7 linked regions of the Sus scrofa genome follow. The protein of the gene in region 3 interacts with the protein of the main gene of each other region in a pairwise test. Links are inferred from orthologs where the notes say so. Each region holds a gene or a part of one and is shown on either strand. Other genes may lie near its edges. The genes, in order: RINT1, NUTM1, LMO2, PRKG1, ZNF24, STAT1 and ADAMTSL4.

Region 1 (4,272 bases), on a different chromosome or scaffold from region 3:
AGCTCTTTTTCAACAGCCCCCCCCCCAAAAAATGGCACAAATGAACCTATACACAGAACAGAAACAGACTCACAGACCATAGAGAACAGACTTGTGCTTGCCAAGGAGGAGAGGGAGGGAGTGGGATAGACTGGGAGTTTTGGGTTAGTAGATGCAAACTGTTACACTTAGAATGGAAAAGAAATAAGGTCCTACTGTATAGGAATGTATAACTGGGTCATTTTCCTGTAAGACAGAAAGTGGCACTATACTTTAAAAAATAAAAAAGTAAAAATTATATTCTTTTGATTTAACCATTTAAATGTAGCATAGTACAGTCTTAGTCAAATGACATTCTTCAAAATGACACACTGCTGATGGCGTAGGGGTGATGTCTCTTTTCCTGTTTTTTGTAAGGAGCACTTCTAATTGCAAAGAAGTTGACCAAGCCACCAAAGGAAGGTCAAGGACAAAGTCCACAGCTTAATGGCATCAACTTCCCAAACATATGAGTGGGGCAAAGGTAGAAAAATAAAGTGTTGGGAGTTCCCATCGTGGCGCAGTGGTTAACGAATCCGACTAGGAACCATGAGGTTGCGGGTTCGGTCCCTGGCCTTGCTCAGTGGGTTAACGATCCGGCGTTGCCGTGAGCTGTGGTGTAGGTTGCACACGCGGCTCGGATCCCGAGTTGCTGTGGCTCTGGCGTAGGCCGGTGGCTGCAGCTCTGATTAGACCCCTAGCCTGGGAACCTCCATATGCCGAGGGAGCGGCCCAAAGAAATAGCAAAAAGACAAAAAAAAAAAAAAAAAGAAAAAGAAAGTGTTTAATTGAGAGAGGTACAGGAGGTACTCTCAAATCCTTTAAGGAAAAGGAGCTGAGTTGTGGCAGCTGTGACTGGCAAGCACTATGAAGTAGTTAAAGCTTTCTTTCTGAGGCAGACTGTAGCAGGAGGCAATGTTAAGGGCAGGTCTAACCCCTAAAACTAATATGGTAACTTAGGCACCCTTTCTATTACTATTCATTCCCAGGCTATGTGCCACGGCCAGAAGAACCAAAACACTCTGATGAAACAGCTGTTACATGCTTCCCTCTTCCTCTCCCAGTAAATTTCCCTCCAAAGGCCCCTGAATATTCCTTGATTTCCACCAGTGTGCCATGCCTAGCTCATTAAAATAAAATGGCACATGTCTACATCCCTGGCATATATATGCTTTTATCTTAGGTAGGAAATGGAAATAATGATCTTTCCTTCTTCTGGGTTCAGTTCAAGAACCAGGAACCAAGTTGTCTGTTGTGCCCTTCCCAAATCAACTTTTATGTGCTAATTCACTGAAGATAGAGTATAACTAATTATCATTTGAAGGCATCTATTTGACAGGCCTGGAGCAGTTACCATCTGCTGCTAAGGTATCCCCTACAGAGGCAAGAAAAAAGTGTCCTCACCCTTTCTGTCTGATGGTGGTAACAGAGAATGAATGGGGGGATACTGGGAAAAATATTTTGCAACTCACAAAAAACCCTGTGAACAGTAAATGCTTGATTTACTCCAAACAATTTGTTTTTAATTTTACTACCAGATTCTTTTGGGCCTGGGGGGCTGCCAAGTGCAGCAGCCTGATGTGGGATCTCAGTTCCCAGACCAGGGATCAAACCTGGGCTGCAGCAGTGAAAGCACTGAGTCCTAACCAGAGATCTAGGCCACCAAAGACCTCCCTCAAAGAAGAATTTGAGTTTACAAGGCAAGTACTGAAAAATTATTCCCCTACACGCTTGTCCTCTGATTGATTCCACTTGTAAAAGCATATGGGCTAAGTCTAATTAAAGGCAAGCCAATAGGAAAAGTTATCATTTGACTCCTTTAAACCCAACACAGGTGGAGGTTATCTCTCCTAGATCATCAGCCCGTTCTAACTCGTGATGCTTATTAAGTTGATGCTTCATTGCAATAACAGGCAGTTCCCAACTAATTTAAGTCCAGTATTGAGTGAGACTCCACCAGTTCCTGCACTAGGTAGGAGTCAGGAAGCCTTCTTCTCCAAATCATCCCATATTGTACAATCCTGAAAGCCAAAAATATATGTATGATAATAATCAGTATTTAATACTAGGAAAGGATACTCTACGGAAATAAAAAAAAAAAAAAAGGTGCTTCATCTAAAAAATAACAAGGTACCATCCTTCTTGGATGTAGACCCTGCAGGACTGAATTTTGGAGAAATGCTGAGTGGAAAGTGCAAAGGCGTTCGGAGTCTGCTTACTTTTGTCCTTGACATCCTTCCTTTGGTCACCATTTTCAGAACAGCACTAGAAGGAGAGCAGGTGTGACAAACACATTAAGACTGAAGCAATAAGTGAAATTCATACAGGGTTCCCAGAGGGCATCCACGGGAGGACCCCAAGGTTCCAGACCCCTCCCCCCTGGAGACTTCCTGAGGTGCGATCTGATGCAGGTTCCAAAAAGGGCTAGCTCCTTGAGGCCACCACAGCCACCTCCCCAGAAAGATCTGTGTCATCTCATCGGTATCGCCACAGCCACTGCATTGGGATTACCTCTCCTGAGAGGTCTATGCCACCTCACTGGGCCACCAGTGTCCCCTCCCGCGGCCACTAGGGCCCCCTCACCGGGGTTGCTGGCGCTTCGCCGATCTCGCTGGCCGGGAGCATCCTGCCTCCGCGCGAGTCCTCGGTTCCATGTGCAGCCAGCGTGGTCAGTGGACCCTGGCTCCGGCCAGCGGCTAGACAGCGGCTGAACCTTTCGAGACCTTAGCGTTGGACGCCACGGCAACTTCCTCTGCCGTCTCTCTGGTTTCTTCCTTTCTTTCCAGAGAGGCCCTTCTCGCGCAGTTGCCGGTCTTGCGCGGTGGCGCCCCCTGCCGGCTTGGATCCGGATCGGACGCTCTGGAAGAAGAAAAGGGGGCGAGCAAAGGCAGTCCTTGTCATTCTAAGTAAAACCTCCTTCACTGCTTTGGAAACATTAATGATGGAGATTCAAAGTATCCTTCCTTCCACACTGTAAATTCATTATGAATCATTTCAACTTATATTTTAGAGGATATCCCAGATGTTCTGAGAGTGTGAGGGAGCTTGTTGACAAGTAGTAATGTAATTTGGTTGGGTGGTTTAATCGCATAATTTCCAATGTCAGTATCTTTGGATCATTCTTTTAAAGCTAATCAGATTTAACTACAAGTTACACTTCAACTTCCTACCTGAAGGGTGCAGATCTGATTGTAAACATTCTGGGAGCAGAACAGAGGGAAAGGACTCAGCATCTAATATATACTTCAGATCAAAGTCTGTACTTTGCCAGGGAGGAGGACCAGGACTGGCAGCATGATATAGGTAGAGAATTCAGGGATGCGACAACTTCAAAAATAAACATGTAAAGTGGTACCATTGAGACTAAAACTAACAGAGAAAGGGAGAAAAAGCAACCCTTAGAGAAAACAGAACCGATTCAATGAGAACATTGTATTTATTTATTTATGTCCTGAGATATGACGCCACTGCGACTATAAAACAATCACGAGCTACTATTTTGTTTTTACTTTTTGGCCACAATAACGGTAATTCCCCGGCTAGGGATTGAACTCACCATAGCAGTAACCGGAGCCACAGCAGTGACAAGGCCGGATCCTTATCCCACTGAGCAACCAGGGAACTCCAACAGTCTACTATTTTATTTTATTTTATTTTTATTTTGTCTTTTTCGGGCCACACCCACAGCATATGGTGGTTCCCAGGCTAGGGGTCCAATCGAAGCTGTAGCCGCTGGCCTACGCCACAGCCATAGCAACACGGGATCCAAGCCACATCTGTGACCTACACCACAGCTCACGGCAACCCGGATCCTTAAGTCACTGAGCAAGGCCAGGGATCAAATCCCGTTCTCATGGGTACTAGTCGGGTTCCTTAACCACTGAGCCATGACAGGCACTCCTTATTTTATTTTTTTGTCTTTTAGGGCTGCGCCTAAGGCATATGGAGGTTCCCAGGCTAGGATCAAAATGGAGCTATAGCCACTGGCCTACACCACAGTCACAGCAACACAGAGTCCGAGCCGCATCTACGACCTACACCACAGCTCAGGGCAAATCTGGATCCTTAACCCATTGAGCATATGGAGCATATGGAGTTCCCAGGCCAGGGAGTCAGATCTTAACCCACCGAGTGAGGCCAGGTATTGAACTTGCATCCTTACAGACACAATGTCAGGGCAGCCAAAGTACAATGTAACCATATTGGACGGATAAAATAAAAGAAAGGCAAGTGTGGTAGTGGTGGGGTTGGGTG
Region 2 (4,115 bases), on a different chromosome or scaffold from region 3:
CATTGCTGCTGTTGTTATTTTCATTCTCAATAACATCTCTATCACCCTCAGGACCTGCCCTCCTTCAAGTATTCCTAAAGAGCCTAAACTCTTTTGTCCATCCCCAAGTCCTCCTTCTTGAAAAGCCTCTAGGATAATGAATCTCAGGTCTCCGCACTTACATAAGAAAGCAGGAGAGGGCCTCTGCATCAGGACTTTGGGATAAGTGCCTCCGTGCCAAGGCTTTGTAGCGCTGCCAGCGTCGGAAATTCTCATAAACACCCTTGGAGGTATAGGAGAGGTCACCCAGAGAGGGCTTGGATCGGGCGGCTGGAGGACCTCCTTCCCCAGTTGTCTCACGTGGTCCTGGCCAAGCCTTTTCTGGGGGTACAATGGGGGCCAGTTGGGCAGCTGGCAGTGGAGCCTGAGCAGAAAGGCCTGGTGGGCCCTCCTGGCTCACTCCAATAGCCTTGGTGGGCAGGAGGGTCTTCACGTTGGAGGCTGTCAGGAATCCGGTGGCAGGACACTCAGGGCCCCCACAGGGAGCACCTGAGGCAATCCAATTGAGGGCAGTCTGAGTAAGGATAAAGTTCTGAGTTTGAGAGGGCTCAGCCGGCCCCCCTTCTGTCTGGACTTTGACAATGACCTTGCTAGCTCCAGCTCCACTGGGGCCAGGGCCCCCATCCCCTGTTACCAGCAATGGACTAGGGAAAGCAGAGAGCACCAGGGGGTTGCCTAAAGAGAATGCTGGATGCATCGGGGGCTGTGAGGGCTGCTCCCAGGGTGGTTGGTCTGGTGGCCCAGGAGCAGGCTGGGGGAGGGGAAGTGCTGTGAAAGGAGACAGGGCAGCGCCAGATTTCATGGTCATGTCCGGTGCTGACAATGGAGACACTGTAGAGACAAAGAAAAAGAGGGGATGGAGGAGGAGAAAAAGAGACCAGCAGTTACGTCCATCTGAGTTCCACTCTAGTCCCTGAAGAAGCAGGCCACTGATTCTCAACAGGTGAGGAAGGGGGAACTTGTATAGTTTGCAAATGTCCTCCAACTGTTTCTGTCCCTTACTCCCCATTGACAATGACCTCTGAACCATAAGCTCATACCCCATGACACATGCCACCTAGCATCCAGGGACATCTTTTATTCCCACCCATTACAAACACATTCAAACCACCTGAACCCTGCTCCCAGCTGCTCTGTGGCCCCTGTCACCACTCAAAGAAGCACTATTCCCAGGAGCGGGTGTGTGTGTGTGTGGATTATATGTTTGGTTCCCAGAAATTTGTTACATAACAGCAAGGAATGACTAGAGATAAGGGCCAGGAAATGGATTGGGGAGGGCGGTGTGGAGAGGGAGGTTTCCAGAGCTTTAAATAACTGCTGGACGTGTTGTACTTTTATCTGTGATCTTTCTGTTCGGAGCTCCCAGTATCAGAAGTTTAGGATCCACTTTTGAACAAGGCACTGATAACGAAGACTGAAACACAGTTCCTGCTGAGCACGAGCTAGGAGGACTCTAGTCAAAGAAACCAAGGATAAATACGTAAAACATGTACTTAATTAACTGGGACATGTGTCCCTAAGACTTTTAATGATAATAATAGAAGATCATCTGGCTAATTTCATGCTACTCTCCTCCCCCTCTTATGAAGAATATTCCACTGGCAAATTAACAACACTCAGCTTCCTGACCGTGAAGGAGATGATGAAGAGCAGCAAACTTCCCCTGAAGCCTAGAGCAGAGGGCCAGGAATATTCCCCAAAGTACAGAACACCATGAAATGGGTCTGAAGGCCTGAGCTCCTCGAAAGGTGGAAAAAAAACAGAGCACCTCTGGAAAGTGTCAGTTCTCATCGCTGCTGAGTGACCTCCCACCCCTGGCCCTGGGGCAGCAAGGAAACCCACACCCTGAACTAAAGGCAGATCCAGGAGGCTCTGAACAGAGGCACTTACAGCACCTTCTAGTCTAGCTTCCTGGAGAACATTTCCCTACAGACTTGGCAACAGATGACCCCACTGAACGGTTTTCTAGCCAAGACTTCCAATCTCCCCCTACCCAATGAGATGGAGAGCAGCCTCAGCTCAGTTCTCTCCGCGCAAAATCCCAGAGCAGGCTCCAGCTGCCTAAAGAAGACCTCACGACTTGGGCCTCCCCTTTGAAACACTCGTGCCCCTTGTACAACGCATACCCCTGCCCCTGCCATACAGAAGCATGTTGAAGGGGTCCCTCTTCCAGAGAGGCAAGCTGCTAACTGCCATCCCTTCTCTCTACTCAGCACTCTCCTCTGAGGCACTTTGATTGGCCACCCAGGAAGCTCTCTTCCTCCCCCAATCCCCAGTTTTGTTGTTGTTGTTTTGGCCACACCCTCCAGGGGAGGAGGGGAGGCCAAGGATCATAAGCTCATCTCAGCAGGGACTTGACCCCAGCCACATTATGACAACACTGGATCCTTAACCTGCTGCACTACTGGGGAACTCCAGCTCCCACAATCTCCTTCCCTAGCCTTCCCAAGTGTGACGCCTTGGGTGGGGGTCTAGTGCACTCACATCCCTCTAGGTCAGCCCAGGTGAAGCGTCAAGTGTTGAATCTCCGAGAAGTGAGCAGGTGGTAGACTCTCCCCAACCTCCCCCACCTGCAGACTCACCTCCATCTGAAGCCATCCTCTCCGGTTTGGGCACTAACCGTGGCTGCCTGGAAGCCTTCACAATGACACGGTGGGTCCAGCACCCAGAGAGTAACCTGGCTCCAGTAGATACACAGGGATCCAAGGAAGGAATGGTAAACATCAGATCAAAACAGAACTAGAATCTAGGACCCAAGGCATTCTGCAGGGGGGGAGGGGAGGTGGCATTATGGGGTGGGGTTAGGGAGAGATTCCACAAAGGGCTCTGGAAGTGGGCAGTAACCAGGAATTCCCTCCAAATCAGAGTATGGCAACACAATTGTTGCACACCTCTCTGGGGCAACTTGCAGATTCTTTCCTGGATTCCCAACCACATCTTGGTTCCCTACAGAATTCTTCACCAATACATCTAGTTTTTGTCTTTCAATGCTACCCAGTTCTATAACTGACTTCCTATTAATAACAGGTTCTGGCAAACCCTTGACTTAATTCAGTGTTGGCTGTATTTTCTGAACCAAATTCAGAGCACATAGTCTGTGTACTTAAGGATCAAGGGAACAGAATGTTTGAAATTAGGGTTGTCTTAGAAGATCAAGGGCATTGAATTGCTGTATACATATCATTTCCTTGGAAAGCTGTGCTGCAGTTCCCAAACTGTCCACTACCATCAGCTCTGCAGTCCACAGAAGGCTTAGCCTTAACCCTGGCTGAAAAGCCTCCCATTCCATCAAAAACTGCTATTCAGCCTAAAATTTCAAGAGCAAAAAGTCCTTCTTTTTGTTTGTTATTTTTGTTTAAAATTTTTGTTAATAATCTTAATTTTTTAAATGGTAATATGTCAGCATGGTTCAAAAGTCAAACTATGCAAAATGAAATATAACAAGTCTCCAACCATTCCTTTCCTCTGGAACCGAGTTATTTACCCCAGGGAAAACCAAATTTCCTCTGAATCCTTGCAAAGGTATTTTATGCAATTATAATAAACACAAACTATACTCTTTTTAAAAAAGCTTTCAGCTTTTTCTGGTTATAAACTTAATATATATTACAACGTTTCTGCCGTTATAAATAATAACGGCCACCTTCGTAAAGATATCTCGGTTCCAAATTCATTGCTTTAACTAGAAGTCCTATAAGGAGAATTTGTACGTTCTTTTAAAAATTCGAAATACCCCTAAGGGGTGCGTCTTATTAGCTACTCACCACTATAAGAATGGGCGTTGAATTTGTGGTAGAGACTTGAGTTTGAATCTTGGTTCGACCATTAAAACATACTTCACCAGTTTCATAAAATAACTTCACGCTCTTTTCGCTGTACAGAATATTGAATACCCATCATGCACTCTTTACCGCCAATACTTTGAAATAGGGCGAGGGAACCGGATGTAAAAGAGGGGAGGGAAGAAAACCTTCTTCTTTCTTCCCTAAAGTAAAAGGGGTTCTGGGTCCTGGAGCCCTGGTTTCTCCAGGTAATAGAAGCTCACTGCCTCTGAAATGGGTGTGTATCTTGTGATA
Region 3 (3,500 bases):
CACGAATAAGCCCTGTGCTGCCTGGGCTTGTTAATCTTTTGCATTTTTAAAAAGGAGAGGAAAAAAAAAATAGTCTGGGAGAGCCCAATGTTAATTAACTTGTGTCTTGGTGACATGAAATAATTCTTCTCCCTGCTACATTCCTAGACAACATGTTAATTAACTCTGTGTTAGTGCAGGCGTTTCCAGCCATCCTTTCATATTTATATTATTGTTATTAAAATGGGCAGGAGGAAGCTTAAGACATGACACCTCTTGACAGAGGAGAAAAATCGTTTCTTGCTGCAGAGATGGCCCTTTAGCCATGGACTTGTTTGCTTGCATTCTGAACATTTTTGGTATGTCTGGGCAAAAGACAAGTTGAAGGGGTCCTGTGATGGGGTTCATCCTTCTCCCCTGCCCTCCAAGGAGAACTTCTTCCCCTGAGGATTTCCAGTGGCTGACTTGCCTGTTACAGTCTTTTTCAGGCTTTTAGCCTCAAATATTCATGAGACTCCCGTGCAGAACTGGAATAAACCCCGGGCTATTAGGTGGTTTTGTTGGGAACCTAACAGTAGTTGCTAATATTAAAGCTCAGCCCAGATCCCCACAGATTCCTTTTTACCAATCTGTGTGTGTCGTGCACCCGCCCCCGCCACCCCCGGCCATGGTTTACCTTCAGCTGCCAGCACCTGCACCTGTTAAAAGCCAGAGGTGTACCCACTACCCCTGCAGATGCCCAGCTGACCTTGCCCCATGACTGACACTGCCAGAGACCAAAGTCCTGCAATCTTGCCTGGAGCCAGGGCCGCCTGGAGACACAGCTTCCACCCTAGAGTTCCCACGCGGTCAGGTCGAAGCTCCCCTCTGAGGCCCTTGGCCCCAGATCGCAACTTTGCTTGCCTTCCACCCCTTCTGCCTGGCTTCCTGCCTCCTACCCATTTCCCCTGATTACACATCCTCAGTCATATGAGGCTTCAGGTCCGCTCCTGGGCCATCCAGCCCAAGGCACCGATTTTGGTGCCAGAGGTCAACACTCAATTTAGATGTCAAGTCCTGGCTTATTTTCATGAGTGGCAAAGTCTCAGCAAACCAGAGCTGGAAGGGGCTGCAGAGACCTTCTCTTCCTGGTCTCTTGCTCTACAGCTTAAGACACAGGAGCCAGGGCAGAGGATGTCATTGGCACCTGGCTAATTAGAGGTGATGCTGGGACTTGAACTTGTCTCCCAGACATCAGTCCTTCGTCCGTCCCTTCATTAGCTGCCTGACGTGGGTTGTAATTTACCCCCGACTTCCCTTTAATAAACGCTCTCCTCCCATAAGGGTCACACACCCAGGCGCCTGGCGTCATTCCACGCACACGGTTTTGTGAGTCATCGATTCTCGCTCGGCCCCAACTCAACTTACTGAACGATCAGGAAACCAGAACTGCCTTTCTACTTCCTGACCGCCAAGGTGGCAGCTCCCCACGGCTCCTCCATTTGCTGCCTCGGGATAAAATGTTCTCCCCCAGTAATGAGTTTGCTCCCAGGTGGTGCCTCGAAAACACTCAAAGGGATCTTCAAAGGGAAAGCGGGATTCGGAGAGAAGCTAGCTGGCCTGGCTGTAACAGGGAGCGCTCTGCTCACAGACCACATCTTGATCCCATTAGTGTAGCCCACACATTTCAAAATTTGTCAGCTGCCCTTATCTCCCCTACGGCCACTCAGAATGTGCCGGTTGATTCTCTATTTGAAGTTAATAAGAACAAGCATTTACCTAACACTGCCCCCAAAGGGTGGGAAGGACCCCCTGAAATGCCATGTGATCAGGCACGTGCAGAAATGACTTCCGGCAGCAAGACTGGCCCCTTTGGGAATACCCCCAAGGTGTGTTAAAACACAGCCAGAGTTGGCTTCGCCCTTGACCTTGGCTGTTGGTGGTTTGACAGGCTGCATTGTATCCTTCTAACAGCTGGGTGAGGCAGGCGCTATGAGCGCTGCCGTTTCATAAGCTCAGAGGAATCGGAGGTCTCACCAGGGTCACTCAGGTACTCAGGGCGAGTCCTGGACTGAGTCTGAGTCTGCTGATTCCCATGCCTGTGGGCTGATTTGCAAACTTCAGCCTGCATTCGAATCACCTGGAAGTGCTCAGGATCGCCCGCAGAGTACCTCCATCAGGAGGGCCCGAGTGTGCATTTCTCACAAGCTCCCAGCGAGTGCAAATGCGGCTGGTCCCCGGACCACACTGAGACCCACTGCACTGGGCTCCGCCATATTGCATTTCCCACCTTGACACTGAATATTCCTTGAAGTAATTGACCAACTGAGGCTTCGGAGGGTCTTAGTTTCAATGTCAGAAGCCTCTCCAGAGACTCGTGCTGTCGGGGCAGCAAGGATCTTCAATTAAGATCTTGCATTGGGCATGGAGAGACGTCGCTTGTCCTCCAGATCTGAGGCATGCTTAGCTATACCACGTGTTTTCTCTCAAACTGCCTCTGTCTCCCAGGAGCTGGGGTCCCAGCGAACAATCATGTGGCCTTTGTGCCTTTGGAGTCATTCAAAACCAGTCCTCCCCTTGGGTGGAATTAGCGGCTGTTGATATGATAGATCTTGGGAGCTTCAGAAAGATGCCCAATTCATCGCATTCCTGGTCAGTTTCCTCTCAAAGGGGCCCCCAGGGGTTTCCTCCTGCTCTTCTTCTGAACTGAGAGTTTTGGAGTTCCATTGCGGCTCAGCAGGAACGAACCCAGCTAGTATCCATGAGGATGTGGGTTCAATCCCTGGCCCTGCTCCGTGGGGTAAGGATCCAGCATTGCTGTGGTGCAGATGGCGTAGACACAGCTCGGATCCCACATTGCTGCGGCTGTGGTGTAGGCTGGCAGCTGCAGCTCCAATTCAACCCCTAGCCTGGGAACTTCCATGGGTGTGGCCCTAAAAAAGCAAAAAGCCCCCCAAAACAAAAAAAACCTGAGAGTTCCCCTGGGAGGAGGCACGCCAGCCATGCCTACCCTCTTACAAAGCTTCAGCTGAGAGTCTTTTCCACAGAGGCGGCCTGGGGCAGCCTAAAGGCGAGGAGAGTGGTTGTTGCAGGCAGGGAGAGAGCTCATGAGAGGGATGAGGTGTTATGGCCAACACAAATGCCGCAGATACCATTTCACCCCAGAGGACCCTCTTCCTTCCAGGAAAGTACATAGGAGTCGGTTATCTGTCTGGACCCAGCTCTTCCTTGCTTCCCGACGTCTTGGAAATCCAGCCAGCATCACGGAACCCATCCCCAAGCCCTCTCATCTCTGCCAGTCTCTTTTGAGCTTTTTCTCTCTTTTCCTCCCCCAGGCTTTTTGGCCAAGACGGTCTGTGCGCATCCTGTGACAAGCGGATCCGTGCCTACGAGATGACCATGCGGGTGAAAGACAAAGTGTATCACCTGGAATGTTTCAAGTGTGCCGCCTGTCAGAAGCACTTCTGTGTGGGCGACAGATACCTCCTCATCAACTCGGACATAGTGTGCGAGCAGGACATCTACGAGTGGACTAAGATCAA
Region 4 (2,871 bases), on a different chromosome or scaffold from region 3:
CATGCCAATTTATCAAAAAGAAAAAAAAATATCATGCACATTATTTTCTTCAGTCCTCTGTGAAAACGCATATATACCTGCTATGAGAGTTCTCAGCAGAATCCATAGCAGTTGTGCTTTTATCATATCAATTTTTTAAATCTGTCAGAAAGGAAAGGTAACATTCAGTCTCGTCATCAGCACTGCTGGGAAATAAAATCATGAAACTTCTAGCACTGGTTTGACATGAACTCTGACCAACAGATGTGTGGTCCTCTTGTGTGCGGTATATACACCAGCTTGCAGTAATATATCCTACAGCCCTCACTTGAAGAAAGGGAAGAGTTCAGTTTTTGTACCATAGTAATCTATCGTACCCAATATATTATTTTTTGATCTTGATAATTCTAGCAAGGTACTGACTCTTTTCACTAGATTGAAGTGTTTCCTACAGTCTTTCAAATTATAATCAGAGCAAAGCAAGATCATTGCAACAATAGAAAACATCTCTTTACTGGTAAAAGGCTTTGCTTCAGGACCACCATGTCAACTGCTGTTTTTAGGTTCAAACAGAAAACATGTAAAGAGCACTACTGTCATCTAAGCAATAAGTCCTAATGCCACTGTAGTTACTGGAGCAGCATCGATCAAAGGCATCATGGTGACCCCGAGCACTAGTCTTCTCTCTTTCCTTCAGGTTTGCTGGCAGCTATGTCTCAGAAAAAGCTGTCTTCAGCAAGGCAGAAGCAGGTAAGAGAAATACATTAGAAGTCTATGTCCCATCCTGAGTTGTCATCAGGTGGTGGTTCATCACTGTCCTCAGGGAAACTGTCAAAATTGCTTGTGTCTGTGGGTGATGCAACCTGCAAATGAGAGAGCAAACAGTAAAAGATTTCTGATTTTTATCAGTGGGAGTCCAGCTAGATTTTTTTAAAGCATTCTTTATCCATTCTATACTCAATGGCTATTTTTGGAATGTCTCCTCTGAGTGGGTTTTGCTCTTTGTGTTGAGAGAACAGTGGTGAATAAAAATGAACATGGTTCTTGCCCTCATAGAGTTTATACTCTAAGATATAATAATGTGATTAAAACAAATCATCACAAATATCTGTAGATAAGTATAAATTTTGATTAGTGTTATGAAGAAAAAAATAGAAGGTGTCATGATAGTAAAAGCATGATCATGGAATGCCTCGTTGAAAAAGTATTGACTTAAAGCTAAGAATTAATGAATTCAGTAAAGAGCTTTGAATACAAAGCTCCTGAGGTGAGCGAGGTCTTCATGCTGTGAAAGATCTAAAAGAGGTCATTTGGCTATTGTGTAAGAGAGGAAGGGGGTGGAATGAGAAATAGGACAAATAGGCAGAAGTCATCCTAAGGATTTTGTGTGTGTATTCTGAGTATAATAAAAAGCCATTACTGAACTTAAGCAAAACTCTTATAAGTTTATTAGGCAAAGTCTAATCTGCAGAGCATCAGTAAAAGCAGTGAAGAAACACACTTTAATTCTCCCATATTATATAATATTTAGAATTTCATATTTTGTTTCTAAAAACAAAACTTTATGAATGCAATGAGCATCTTAAATAATTTGCTTGTGAATAAACAAATATTAGCATAGAAATCTTAGATGTAGGAAAAAATGTTTCTGAACAAGGAGCAACCCTGAATTAGTCCTATAAATAAAGTATGTAAATGAAAGGCTCAGGACTGCAAAGCAACTCTTTCTTCCTTAGTTAAAACACAGCACTTTTTTTTTTTTTTAAGATAGATCTAGTACTGAATAAAAATAAAAATGGAATCCATTGAAATTTCTTTCAGGTTAATATAGTGTAAAACATTTAGTCCACTTAGTAGACTAGCAGTTTAACAAACCACCTGATATGTTAAGAAAAGAGAATCTTTTCTTTTAGAGACCGCTGAAAGGGTAAAAGAACACTATTGTTCTTGGGAGTGCTTCAAAGTACTGTGGGCACAGGGAAGAAGGAGCTAAGTGGGAGCATAACTGAAACAGTATTGGCCAGGAATTGACAGCTGTTGAAAATGGCTGCTGGACTGTTGACCAAACTCAGTAAGAAAGCAAAGGGCAGGGAATGTTTTGATATGGTCCATTTGGGTTGTACTCTTGGAGACAGAGCACAGTAAAGAGTAAACTGGAATCATAAACAGAAGTTAACAGTAGCAGATTATCCTATCTCACTCAACTATATCCATGTACACACTAAATGGTTGAGAACTTACTGTGTCTTGTAGAGAGAGAACACATTATGTGCAGAAATTTAAAATAGTATACATATTTTGCTAATAATCATGAATATGACTAAAGTTGTTAATATATCCTTGCGCAAAGATGTATAAACCTTTTACTATTATGAGGAATAAAAGATTATACTCTTCTGTCAACATCTGTATATATTTAACACTGTTTTTAACCTTGGATTTTAAAAGATATTATGTTAACCTGGTATTTAACCAGTTTATTTAATATGACCATAGGATAAAAATTTTAAAAATAACAGATCTTTGACTGAGAAACACCTTCATGTGTGTCACACAATTACAAGCTGGAAGGTCTACTTACACTTGGTATTATAGGAGGTGTCAAGGTGCCTTTTCTTAAGCCTTCCCAATTAAAGCCCTCAAACCACCTTAGAAAGAAAAAAAGTAGACAGTTAAGGCATTTTACCTCAGCTAAAGTCGTCTCATTGAAACTTCTATGATGTCCATGACTGATAGAAAACAGGCACCCATTTTCAATGTGAAGAAAATGTTTTCTATTAATTGCAGGTTTTTGAATATTAGCTTATTCAATGGAATGCATATTTTTTAAAAAACTAATTGTCAAAATTTTAAACACCAATTAGAAAGCAACTCCTTTTTTTAATTCTAGTA
Region 5 (4,294 bases), on a different chromosome or scaffold from region 3:
GTTTTCCACAGCATCAAGCTCAGAACTTGGTAATCCCTGAGCTTCTTCTTGAGATACAATCTCCTCTACTAGCACGTCCCGTTTTCGTCGCCGAAGAGAAACCTGGAAATAACAGGACTGGTTCAAATGAGAAGGAATCTGTTGAGAATCAAAAACACACACACAAAAGCAACCACACGAAACATATGCTGCAGAGGCCTAGATGACAAAGCAGCATAAATAATGGGGGGCAGGTGGAGGCATAAACAGAATTCTAACTTAGCTGAGTGGCATTAAATCAGCAGCTGCGCCTACTGCCATGTCAGGGCTCCTGACCCAGGAATGCAACACAAGCGGGCTTACCGGCTGTCCAGGGTCATCTAGCTCACTCTCTAAATCCTCTAGAACGGTCACTGCCTCCTCTCCATTCTCTGGATGATGCTCTCGAACCCAAGTCTGTAGCTCCTTGGGCAGGATGGCAACAAACTGCTCCAGTACTACCAGCTCCAAGATTTGTTCTTTTGTGTGTGTCTCTGGCCTGAGCCATAGACGGCAAAGTTCTCGAAGCTGGCTCACAGCTTCACGGGGCCCAGGTGAATCCTGGTATCCAAACTGCCTGAAGCGCTGTCGGAAAACCTCCGGGTCAGGGAGGTGGTTCCAAGGGATACTTGACCCCTCTTCGCCATCAGGATCCTCCTCCAACTTCACCCTCAGAATTTTTTCCTCTTCATCTGGAGTTGGGATGATAAGTATTGAATCTTCTTCCACTGACTGTGCAGACATCCTGATTTATAATACTCCAAGAAAAGACAATCAAGGTAGGAGACAGGCCTCAGGGAAATACCCTGTTTTCTTCACAGGCACTCCTGAGGCACAAGAAATGAAAACAATATAAATGACCAAATATCCTAAGAATCTGAACATACCCTGATAGAAGAAAAGAAAATGTATTTTTACTAAATTAAACATGCCAATCAATAGCCTACAACAGAAGTTCCAGTTCACTGCTAAATCTGGCCCACTGCCTATTTTTCAATAATGCTTGCACTGAGAATAGTTTTCACATTTTTATATGGTTGAAAAAAATCAAAAGAACACTTCATGTCAGGTGAATATTGATAGAAATGAAAGTGTCTGTCTCCATAAATAATTTTACTTATTTGTTCACTATTGATGCTACAACAGCGTGACTACTGTACTCTACTCAATAGAGTTGAGTAGTTGCAATAAATGCTACATGTCATGAAAAACTTAATATTTACCATCTGGCCCTTTTGAGAGAAGTATGCCAATCTATGTCTACAAAACTTGCCTATCTCGGTGTTATCTAAATGGAACACATTATTTGCAATTCAATACCGGTGTAACCTGACACACCTGAGTCACCTCAAAAGGAGGGGTATCTTTTTTAGCACCTGCTTAAAAAATTTTGACAATTTTTTTTTTTCAGGGCTAAGAAATAGTTTTAAAATGTTTAAGAACTCCCTGGACTAAAATATACATGAAAAAAATATTCACCTGCTCAATAACAGATACATGATGTTGAAAAAAACCACTAGGTGCCATAAAATTCAAATATTATTCAGTCACCCGAGACACCATAAGTACCTTTCAATTTGTAATGTGGGCATTAATCATAGCAAATTCTATGAAGAAAAGGGACTCTCATAACACCTTGACTTCCCACAGTGGCGCAGACTCTAATCCTTACACTGGATGACTCACAATCTCCCCAGCTTCTACCTTCAGGGAAACCTTGGGCTATTTCTGATCCTTTCCTTAGTATTTGCACAGTCATGCCTATGCCATTGTTTAAAACACCTACTGGGAACAAGCCATGCAGTTACTCAATATTATCTATTCAGGGCCCGGAATCTGAAAGTCAGTAACTGCCCAAAACTTCCTGTAAACCTATCAAGTCTAGGTATCAGAAAAAAATCTTACCAAGTAATATACATACAGGTTTGTTTAAGCACTCTGGAGTGTGGCGGCCTTATAAACAAGGTTTAGCCAACAGTATTCGTTTGTTCCTATTCCAAAACCCTACCTTACCATTGGCTCAAACACTCTAGAAAAATAAAATTTCTCTCCCCTTTACGTTTTCATACAGCACCCTGCCGATGGGACGTGAGGAGGTGCGGGGAATGCGAACCCGCAGTCCCAACCAGGTTTGCGCAGGGAGTCCTGTCCCACGCGACCTTCCCACTCACTCAGCGGAGTGCCGTGGCGAACCCGGCCCCCACCAGACCACTCCAGCCCCTCTTCTCTCCACACTCCCGGCTGCGGCTTTCGGAAGACCAGAGGCCACCTAGCCTCAACAGCGCCGGAGTCACGGCACTTCCGCTCGAGGCCGGCCAAACTACAAGTCCCGGCAGCCACGGCGGAGGACCGCCCACCCCCCTCCACCCGAAAAGAATCCCAGAACCCTCCGCGAGATGCCAGGGCCTCGAAATAGAACAAAACCGGCCGATGGGGGAGGGGGGAAGGCGGGGGTCGCGGAAGGCACAAGGAAGGGAGGACTCTCCAAGGGTGCCGAAAGCCCTATCTGGCTTTCTGTCTATCCCTCCCTGTCTCCCAGCTGCTGGGCGCTGAGACCGTGGCCTGTCCCCCGCGCCTCCCGGGAAGCCAAGGAAGGTCACCGCCAAGCTTTTTCGCTAACTCTTGCCAAGCGGACCACAGCCTCTAGCCCAGCCTCCCTCGCACGCTCTTCCCCCCTCTCTCGCGCAAACCTCAAGCTCGGGAACTGCAACCGCTTCGCTGTCCACGGCCGACGCAGAAACGCCGCCGCTCACAAGCCGTTTCCCAGAAGCCCCCGGCGCAGACTGCTTCCGGTCTGTGGGCCCCAGGAGGCGGGGGGTAGGCGAAGCCCCGCGTTGCCATAGAGATGCGCTCCGGGCTGGGGGAAGGGCTGTCCAACTACAATGACCGCTTTGAGGCTGCGCTTGGCCTCACGCCTCTCTCCCCTGGTTAGCCCAGTCTTCTGTGTTCCCCTTAAAAGACCAGGAAAGGAAAGAAAAAATTCTGCCACTAATGTAGTCTTTACGGTGTCATAAGTCTTTTCACATGCATTATCTCATGTGATCTTCACAGTAATCCTCTGAAAGAAGTAACAAAAGCTAATATTTATGTGTGCTAACCACGTTGTACCAGGTTCTGTCACCGTGGTTTACATGTCTTGTAATTTAATTTTCGTGAAAACCCTATGATGTAAGAACTTTTATTATCCCCATTTCACAGCTGAGGTAATTGAGGCTCAAGTAAATAGCTTGCGGAGAATACATAACTAGTAAGTACGAAGCAAGATTTGAAGCCAAGGCATGACTCTAACCTTTGGCTACCATTTGCTGTGCTATAGAGCTTTATTATGACTAATTAATTTGTCAGGGAAACAAGATGAGACTCTTAATCAAGAGCTTTGGCAATGATCGCAGAGTGAATTTGCAGAATGCATGGTTATCTTCTGACTTTAGGCTTGACATTTCATACTACAAAACAGCTGCCAAAGTGATTTAAAAACATAAATCAGACCACTTAATGCCCCTACTTAAAGGCCTTCAGTGGATCCCTACTGCATTAATTATGACATTAAAAACTGCTTACATTGGCCTGTAAGGCCCCCTGTGGTTTTTCCCTGCCCCCACCTTACCCCCACACCCCAGCTCTTAGCCTTGTTGTGGCTGGCAATCGTCAGCCTTCCTGACCATTTCTTCCTCCTGGAAGCCTTCTCACGCTCATAGCACTGGGTAGAAGTGATCTTATGTATTCATTTCACTGGTTTTTGTTTTATTTCGTTTTGTTTGTAAGTCCCATAAGGGCAGGGACCTTGCCTGTCTTGTTCACCACAGTATTCCCATGTAGTCCCGGGATGCTGACTGCCTGGTACATAGAGAACTCAATAAATATTTGTTGAATAAATGAATGAAATGTGGGCTGGTCACATTGCTGCCTTTGCTAGGTCACATGTTCAGCATCAGGAACCACACAAAAGAGCCCTGTTGTTTAAGGTCTATGTTAGAAGTACAGGTCCAGCCTTCCAGCAGCCTTCCAAGATCTTCAGGCTTCAGCTTTCTGCCTCTTTCAGAGTGCCCTTTGCAAAGTGCCCTTAGGCTCTGCTGAATTCATGAATGAGAGCGCAAGTGAGTCAGCTGATGATCCCATAGCACTACTTTACTCTCTGACCAGGATTTTGCCTCCCCAGAACACCTGCTACTTCTGATGGCCCTTCTTCTCTTTCTTTTTTAGGAGGTTTCTGAAATCCAGACTTTTTTTTTTTTTCTCTTTTCTACTTGGCTACTACCACCAACCTGCTTGGCTG
Region 6 (3,500 bases), on a different chromosome or scaffold from region 3:
CTAGAGACCTCGAAAAGGACACCCGCCTATAGTATGATTATGAACAGGAAAGCAGAGTGTCGATTTGTTTGACCTCACGTGGAAACGCACATATTGAGCAGCTCAAGGTTTTCACCACTGTGTGCCTGGGTGTGTCCACAGATGACTGCAAAAGTGCCACAAGTATTGATTCTGGAGTTAAATTTTAGTGAGTAGATGAATTCACAAATGTGAATCCTCAAGTAATGAGAATCGACTGTATTTCTCTTCTGCTGCTGTGAAAATGTCTGTGTCACAGAGGTTAGCACTGAACTCTGGCACGGCTCCACTTTTCAATGCCAAGCTTGTGACTGGTGACTCATTAGTAGCTCTTAACTTCTGGGTGTTTTCTCTCTAGAATCTGTCCTTCTTCCTGAACCCACCTTGTGCACGATGGTCTCAGCTTTCAGAGGTGCTGAGTTGGCAGTTTTCTTCTGTCACCAAAAGAGGTCTCAATGTGGACCAGCTGAACATGCTGGGAGAGAAACTTCTTGGTATGAACATATTAACTTTTTGTATATCTAACCATTGAAATTCATAAAAATATCCTGACTTGCCCCCCTTTCCCTCTTTGCTCTCTATTTTGTTCAAGGTAGAAGAGTGCTAAAAATCTGTTGGCTTTTCCAGCTGCGGTTTGTTATAGCTGCGGTTTGTTATAGCTGAGTGAAAATTATGCCTCACCTTGGAAGGAGATACAGACCTGATAAAAAATTTTAAAAATGAATTATTTCAGAGTTCCCTTTGTGGCTCGGTGGTAACAAACCCAAATGGTATCCATGAGGATGTGGGTTCGATTCCTGGCCTCGCTCAGTGGGTTAAGGATCTGGCGTTGCCATGAGTTGTATAGGTCACAGACGTGGCTTGGATCTGGTGTGGCTGTGGCATAGGCCAGTGGCTACAGCTCCAATTTGACCCCTAACCTGGGAACCTCCATATGCCATGGGTACAGCCCTAAAAAGCAAAAGAAACAATAAAAAAAATGAAATATTTCCCCATTATCTCATATTAACATTTCTGAGCAGAGTTCCTAAGGGAAAGATTTCTGAGTTATGTAAAATGTATTATTTGTGGCTAGAATATTCTTTGATAAGAAAGATGAAAGTCATGTTAACCTTGGGGAGAAAAAAGCCCCCAGCATGGTAAGAATAAGGTCGTGGGGCCGCCCACACAGCACACACCCAGGTGTCTTGTGTCAGGTGGGCAGAGACACGGCCCACATCAGGAGGATGCCTGTCACCAGCAGTGCCTGATGTGGTCCCGGCCATGCTAGAAAATTCCCTGTCGGTAGCTAATGTCATGGGCTTTTTAGTCTTCCACACTAAGCAAATCCAAGACCTCTTGGCCTCAAGGTCAGATCTTCAGTGCATGGGAGTATCTGAACTATTTCTTTAAAAATCCATGGGTACCTTTTCTCTGGATTTGCTTACTGTATAGCAGAGCTTCATGTACTGCAAATACCAGTAGGCTTTTCCTAACCAAATGGCTCTCAGCAGTGCCTTCTCTTGGCCATGTAGCTGTCACAGTGGGGACCTTGTGCTGTTTTAGTAAAAAGTGAGAAATCCCTTATTTGCACCAAATTAAGACATATCTTTTCCACCTGTGATGGCTTATCTGTGGTTCTCTGTGAGGAAATGGTGGGCTCACTGCCTCTTACAGCCTGGGCCACTTCACTTTGTAGTGATAACCACTAGGCTTCCTTGCCCTCTCTCATTTCGCTAACTTGGCATTTGATTTGCATCGATCTCCCTGAGCCCGTGTCCTATTTGGAGGAGGGCTGAGGGACATGCCTATCATCTAAAATAAGCTTCTAAAGTCAAGTGTCAGTTAAATAGATCTCCTAGGGGCCCATCTTTCATCTTAGTTCAAACTTAGGAAAAAGCTCTGTAGGGTCCCTGGAAGAGGAGCCTACAGTAGAGGGAGAGGGAAGCAGGCAGTGGGAAACGATGCTGCACAAAGAGGGACCAGGTGGAGGTTCTCTAGAAAGTGCAGGTAATTAATATTAGTGCCTCTGGGAGTTTCAGCCAGGTACATACAACCTTCCTTTGTTGAATGTTGGCTTTCTGAGAGCAAATACAAGAGCCATCAGTCCAGCCAAAGCTTCAGAATCGATTTCCATTTCCTGAAAATGCTTATTTGTATTTGTTTAGGTCCCACTGCTGGCCCTGACGGTCTTATTCCCTGGACGAGGTTCTGTAAGGTGGGTACTGTCTGGGCTTTAGACTTTGGAGCTCTTTACACTCTGTGTAAAGGAGTTCTCGCCGTGACGCTGACCGCCCTGTGCTTACTTTGGCATATTCCTCTCTCACCCATGGAACCCCAAGGGCAAGTTGTTTACTTTCCTTCAGCTCCAAAGGTTAGTCTCCAAGTGTGAGCCTGACAGGAAGCACCTGCCTGTGTGATAACATTCTTTCATATCCGAAGTGAGTCTTCTGTTTGCTCACAGTGGCCCTTGGCCTGGCGGCATTTCAGCCCCATCCATGAGGAATGCGCTCTGTGCCGACGTGGCTGGCCTGCAGGGCCAGATGAGCTTGCCCGAGTCTGCTCCAGCAGTGAGACCAGTTGAGGGGAATAATCAGACGCCACTAGGGTCACCAGACAGTGTTGACAAGCTTGTGCTACTGGATATTAGTAGTGCAAATGAAGGCAGCTCATGTTCCGTGATTCACCCTGGAGGTCATTCCTTGGCCGGGTGGCTGCTGTTTGGAGAGGGAAGCAGAGCCCAGCTCAGGAAGTGGAGAACTTGGTGTCTGAATGCTGATAAGAGGGAGGGCCTTCTCTGGAGGGGACAGCCCTAGCTTTGGCAGCTGGGCAGTGTTTGCAAACTAAAATCCCACGGTGGGAGGAGGCATGGTAAGTCACTGTATTGGATTTTGTGGTTCATAATGTGTGCATTTGTATACTTGCAGGAAAACATAAATGACAAAAATTTTCCTTTCTGGCTTTGGATTGAAAGTATCCTTGAACTCATTAAGAAACACCTGCTCTCTCTCTGGAATGATGGGTAAGGGCCATTGATAGATGTATTCTTGAAACATGTTGAGCACACGCTCCCTACTGCAAGGCTGGGATAGGCCTGACCCAGACAGACTTCATTACTTGACAGGACTATGTGCATCTCACACACACAGCTGTTTTACAGGCTGTCCCTTCAGGTATTCATGATAGTGGACCCTCATAAGATTAAATCTATACCTATCATAGTATATGTCTATTTGCATTTTCAAAGCTAAATTAGAAAGCCCTGAGTGCAATTCATGCATTCATTCATTCTACAAAAATTTCTTGAGCACCTAGTTTCTTGCCTCTCAGAAAAGAAGAAAAACCTTTTTTAACTTGGTAAGTTGTTTCTAATTTGTTCCCAGGGTCAGTTGTTATTTCAGCAGAGGCTTTAACCTGGTCATAAGTCTTGGATATGAACATGGATTGTCTGAGCCTTCCTCTTCGCTATGAGATGCATAAATTCAGACATTTTTGTAGTAGAA
Region 7 (4,236 bases), on a different chromosome or scaffold from region 3:
TGGCCTTGCTCGGTGCCATGAGCTGTGGTGTAGGCCTGCGGTTACAGCTCTGATTAGACCCCTAGCCTGGGAACCTCCATATGCCGAGGGAGTGGCCCTAGAAAAAGCAAAAAAATACAGCAAACAAACAAACTGAATAGACTCAATAATACACGACTGCGGTTGATGAATAAATGGCAAATAAAAATTTAAATCGTAGTGTCCATTTGTTATCTACTGTCAGCCATTTTGTATATATTATTTTTCTTTGTTTTTAACTAATGACATAGATAATGCTCATGGTTAAAAATTCAAAAACATATAAGCATAGAGTGACAGCCTCCTAACCCCACAACCCCTCCCCAGGTATTGTCTCCAATTTTGAGTCTGGGATGTATTCTTCCATAAATAGACAGACGTATCTCCAAGCCTGTCATATGAATCAGATAAGCCCATTTTACAGATGAGGAAACTGCAGCACAGAAAGTTTGAAGTACTCATCCAAGACCACAGAGCTGACAAGTCCTGGAGCAGAGATTCAAATCTAAATCGTCTGACTCCTAAGTCAGCGCATTCCTCCCGCTATGCCCTGTGTGTCAAATTTTATGGATGAAGAAACCTAGGCTTGGAGTTCCCCTCCTGGCTCAGCGGTAATCAATCCAACAAGTATCCATGAGGATGTGGGTTCGATCCCTGGCGTCGCTCAGCGGGCTAAGGATCTGGTCTTGCCATGAGCCGTGGCATAGGTTCAGAAGCTTCTCGGATCCCTGCGTTGCTGTGGTGTTGGCCGGGACTGCAGCTCTGGTTATACCCATAGCCTGGGAACTTCCCTATGCCCCTGGTGTGGCCCTAAAAAGACCAAAAAAGAAAAGAAGAAAAAAAAAAAAAAAAAAAAAGAAGAAGAAGAAGAAAAAGAAGAAACCGAGGCTCATAGAGGTCCCCTGAGCAGCCAGAACCACATGGTTCACAGCCAAACGTGGGAGAGGCAGGGATGAGAGTGTGCTTGCACCAGAGGCTGCGTGGAGGAGAGGGCCTCCGCCGATGGGGCATCTGGGATCGTGCGGGTCTATCTCGGCCCAGCAGTGCCCAGATCTGGGCCCAGAGGCTCGTCCACGCCGCTGGTGTACAGGAACCACCCAGCCCCTTGGCGCCCCTCGCGGCCGCCCCGCCAGGGCAGGCGCAGCACTCGCACCGCCCACTCGGAGCCGGCTGGGAGGCCCGGGTCCCGGAGTCCCGAGCCGCAGCCAGGCCGGGAGACAGTGCCCGGGGGCGATGGCTGTCTTCGAACAGGGCTGGGACCCCTTCGGCTTCGCCCCCTCGAGCCGTCGGCGGGCGCCGGGCGGGAGTAGCTAGTCCCGCTACTCTGGGTGGGTGGCCTTAGCGAGCCGGGGGCTCGGGGTGGGCCGCCCAGACCCGGGGGCCGGCGAGGGGCGCGGGCCGGGCGCGTGGCGGGAGGGCGGAGTGGGGGCGGAGAGGGGGCGTGGCGGGGGCGGAGCCGCGGCCGGAGGCGGCAGAGTCCGGAGCCCGGCTCAAGGGCCGCCGTGGCCGCCGCGGAGCAAAGCTGTCTCGAGAGAGCGCCCGGGCGCAGAGGGGTTAACGGGCCGCCGGGGCCTCGAAGAGCAGGTACAGACCTTCCCTGGGACCCCTGGCCCCGGCTGCCCTCTCTCCCAGGTCCCGTTAGACCACCGGCCCTGCGCGCCCGCGCCACCCGAGTTCCCTGCTCCCCAGGGTCGCGCCCCAGCCACGACCCCGGCCCCAGCTCTTAGAGCCTCGGAAGATCTTCCAGTCCCTGGGGCCGGATTCCTGGGGAGGGGGTCTGATCCCTTGGAACGCTGGCCCCGTCACCCGGCCAAAATTCCTACTAAGTCATAAAGTCGGAAAACATACGCAGGACCTCGCGGCATGCGCCGGGCGCCACCTGCCCTCATCTGAAAGGGTGCTCCTGGAGGATGTGTATCCCACCCTCCACCCCCGTCCTTTGGCCCTGGAGTTGGGGGATAGGGACGATGGGAGGGGTGCTGGTGGGTGCCCGTGATCAAACTCAGCCTGATTGGAAAGGAAGGACACCTGTCGGGTTGGGCCTCCCTCACTCAGGAGTGGAAGGTGCAAGGAGAACCAAAGTGTTTTCTCTCAGCATAGGGACTCTCCAGCCAGCCCTGGAACCTGCTGTCCAGCCTCCTGCCCCTCCGTGGCACCCATTTCCCAGAGGTGGGTCCCCTGGGGGTGAAGGGGTTAGTCTCTCCTTAATCTTCACTGGCCAGTGTGGAGGTGTGGCCGGGAGGAGCCCAGGTTCGTCTAGACCAATGTTAGCCTGGCCCAAGGGTGACCACTTCTGACCTCTCCTTTCCTCACCCTGGGCGGTGAGACACACCAGATGAGGAACATGAAAAGGGTGAAAAACACAAATGTGTGTCTGTTTCCGCAGTGGAGGGGGTGTCGGCCCCCTGCCCAGCTATGCAGGAGGTGGGGTAGGACTTTTCCAGAGAGGGAGCCAGGCCTGGCCATGGCCCCAGGAGCTCACGTCACCCCACCCCCCACCCCTCACTTCTCCAGGGAACTGCCAAAGCCAAACTCAGCTCAGGACAGGATTATGTGTACTGGGTAGACCCATGGAGAGAGAAAGCAAGATACAGACCTGGGGTAGCTGCGAGCAGAAGCAGAGAGGGATTGGAGAGGGGCCTGGCAGCAAGAAGGGGTAGACAGTGACCATCACCCCATCTCTCCTTCCCTTCAACCTCCCTCCAGTGAGAGGCAGGCAGAGAGCTGAAGGCTTGGGTGGAACGTTGGCCCTTCTCTGGAGCCCCTACCCGATCCCCCATCAGGGTGGAGTTGCTGACCTCAGTGGCCAGCCCAGCCAAGGGAAGGAGCAGACATCAGCAACCCCTTCCCAACCCCAAGGAGCTGAAGAGACCCTGCAGCTCGGGCTCAACCACTGCGACCCCTCCCTCAACTTCCCAAGTCCTGGGGTCTCAGGGAGGGGAGTGCGGGCTGGGAGTTGCTACCCCCAAGCACATTCCTGCCCTTCCCGCTGTCATTTTCCTGCCCCTGAGCTGGCCCACCTCGGCATTAGCTCCTTGGATTCCTCTCCCGGGTGCCTTTCAGATCCAACAGAAACATTTTTTTTTTTTTCCTGGAAAGCAGAGCTCCAAGCAGCCTGAGGAGTGGGGGTGGAAAGGCCTCACTGTGAGCAGGAAGGGGTTGGGGGGCAAGGGGGAGCGGTGGAAGAGTCAGGCTTAGACCAGGGGACTAAGTTCTGCTTCCCAGATGATCAAGGCTAGACTTCAGGATGGACTTCCCAGCTCTTCAGAAGATAGACCAATGCGGGACTGGGGAGCAACGACATCTCTAGCTGCATCTCCCCTTCCCAGGTTCTCCAAGCCCATCAGAATCTCGCCTGAAGTAAGCCCTCACTGATCCAGGGCTGGACGCCAGCCCCCAGAGGGAGGTGAAGTCTCAGTGGGAAAAATCACTTGCTTCTCTAGAGATTAAACCATCAGCCCATTTAGTTTATCCCTTGGCTGAAAAGCATTTGAGGCAGGCAGAGATGTGCTTGAGGGTTCCAGAAGGAGCTTAGCTAAGAAGGGAAGAGATGGAGTTCCTGTCGTGGCTCAGCGGTTAACAACCCCAACTAGGATCCATGAGGATGCGGGTTTGATCCCTGGCCTTGCTCAATGGGTTAAGGATCCGGCATCCCTTGAGCTGTGGTGTAGGTCATAGACACGGCTCTGATCTGGTGTTGCCACAGCTGTAGCTCCGATGAGACTCCTAGCCTGGGAACCTCCATAAAAGAAAGGAAGAGAAAGCTGGGAGACAGGCAGGGGAAACCCAGGGGCTTCCAGTCAGCAGCTCAGAGGGGGTGCCTGGCAAGTGCTTGCTGAGCCTCTTTTCTCAGCTTTCCAGGAGGAGCCAGGTGGAAAGCAACTTGAGAAGGATGCATGTGCCTGGGCTGGCTTTGAGACTGTCCCTAGTCAGGACTGGAAGGAGCTGAGACCTTCCTACAGTTGAGGGAGGGGATTTAGCCTGAGTCTGGAGGCTGAGGGCAGACCCTCACCCTCTAGCCTGGGCAGACGGACAAAGAAGTGTTCCTTCTTCTTCCCACCCTTAGGATCTTAAAGAGCTGGGCCAGTCTTCTCCACGCCTCCCTCCTCACTCTGACATGTCTTGCTGAGGGGTCATCCCTCCCAGTCCCCAGCCTTCCCGAGACTGGGTCCGTCTTCAGTCCTCTGAAGCCTAGATGCCCAAGTAGAGTGTTTCCTT

What was found.
Region 1: the proteins of LMO2 (region 3) and RINT1 interact in binary tests that used the Homo sapiens proteins (3 or more experiments, as listed by UniProt). The two-hybrid records come from large-scale screens. The link is inferred for Sus scrofa from reciprocal best matches to the Homo sapiens genes LMO2 and RINT1.
Region 2: the proteins of LMO2 (region 3) and NUTM1 interact in binary tests that used the Homo sapiens proteins (3 or more experiments, as listed by UniProt). The two-hybrid records come from large-scale screens. The link is inferred for Sus scrofa from reciprocal best matches to the Homo sapiens genes LMO2 and NUTM1.
Region 4: the proteins of LMO2 (region 3) and PRKG1 interact in binary tests that used the Homo sapiens proteins (3 or more experiments, as listed by UniProt). The two-hybrid records come from large-scale screens. The link is inferred for Sus scrofa from reciprocal best matches to the Homo sapiens genes LMO2 and PRKG1.
Region 5: the proteins of LMO2 (region 3) and ZNF24 interact in binary tests that used the Homo sapiens proteins (3 or more experiments, as listed by UniProt). The two-hybrid records come from large-scale screens. The link is inferred for Sus scrofa from reciprocal best matches to the Homo sapiens genes LMO2 and ZNF24.
Region 6: the proteins of LMO2 (region 3) and STAT1 interact in a two-hybrid assay, tested with the Homo sapiens proteins (2 studies listed by BioGRID and IntAct). The two-hybrid records come from large-scale screens. The link is inferred for Sus scrofa from reciprocal best matches to the Homo sapiens genes LMO2 and STAT1.
Region 7: the proteins of LMO2 (region 3) and ADAMTSL4 interact in binary tests that used the Homo sapiens proteins (3 or more experiments, as listed by UniProt). The two-hybrid records come from large-scale screens. The link is inferred for Sus scrofa from reciprocal best matches to the Homo sapiens genes LMO2 and ADAMTSL4.

What each region holds. Positions count from the first base shown.
Region 1 is NC_010451.4:105,391,381-105,395,652, reverse strand, and holds the start of RINT1 (RAD50-interacting protein 1), read right to left. Parts: upstream 2,801-4,272; 5' UTR 2,644-2,800; coding exon 2,602-2,643; intron 2,284-2,601; coding exon 2,238-2,283; intron 1-2,237. UniProt on the Homo sapiens protein: Involved in regulation of membrane traffic between the Golgi and the endoplasmic reticulum (ER); the function is proposed to depend on its association in the NRZ complex which is believed to play a role in SNARE assembly at the ER.
Region 2 is NC_010449.5:80,156,698-80,160,812, forward strand, and holds the start of NUTM1 (NUT family member 1), read right to left. Parts: upstream 2,801-4,115; 5' UTR 2,764-2,800; coding exon 2,622-2,763; intron 871-2,621; coding exon 162-870; intron 1-161. UniProt on the Homo sapiens protein: Plays a role in the regulation of proliferation. Regulates TERT expression by modulating SP1 binding to TERT promoter binding sites.
Region 3 is NC_010444.4:27,051,136-27,054,635, forward strand, and holds part of LMO2 (rhombotin-2), read left to right. Parts: intron 1-3,293; coding exon 3,294-3,500. UniProt on the Homo sapiens protein: Acts with TAL1/SCL to regulate red blood cell development. Also acts with LDB1 to maintain erythroid precursors in an immature state.
Region 4 is NC_010456.5:97,562,210-97,565,080, forward strand, and holds the end of PRKG1 (cGMP-dependent protein kinase 1), read right to left. Parts: intron 2,628-2,871; coding exon 2,561-2,627; intron 843-2,560; coding exon 744-842; 3' UTR 501-743; downstream 1-500. UniProt on the Homo sapiens protein: Serine/threonine protein kinase that acts as a key mediator of the nitric oxide (NO)/cGMP signaling pathway. GMP binding activates PRKG1, which phosphorylates serines and threonines on many cellular proteins.
Region 5 is NC_010448.4:119,164,405-119,168,698, forward strand, and holds the start of ZNF24 (zinc finger protein 24), read right to left. Parts: upstream 2,801-4,294; 5' UTR 2,709-2,800; intron 851-2,708; exon of another isoform or gene 846-850; 5' UTR 763-845; coding exon 343-762; intron 103-342; coding exon 1-102. UniProt on the Homo sapiens protein: Transcription factor required for myelination of differentiated oligodendrocytes. Required for the conversion of oligodendrocytes from the premyelinating to the myelinating state.
Region 6 is NC_010457.5:95,611,820-95,615,319, reverse strand, and holds part of STAT1 (signal transducer and activator of transcription 1), read left to right. Parts: intron 1-376; coding exon 377-512; intron 513-2,165; coding exon 2,166-2,215; intron 2,216-2,924; coding exon 2,925-3,019; intron 3,020-3,500. UniProt on the Homo sapiens protein: Signal transducer and transcription activator that mediates cellular responses to interferons (IFNs), cytokine KITLG/SCF and other cytokines and other growth factors.
Region 7 is NC_010446.5:98,586,456-98,590,691, reverse strand, and holds the start of ADAMTSL4 (ADAMTS-like protein 4), read left to right. Parts: upstream 1-1,436; 5' UTR 1,437-1,602; intron 1,603-2,113; 5' UTR 2,114-2,187; intron 2,188-3,347; exon of another isoform or gene 3,348-3,424; intron 3,425-4,084; 5' UTR 4,085-4,236. UniProt on the Homo sapiens protein: Positive regulation of apoptosis. May facilitate FBN1 microfibril biogenesis.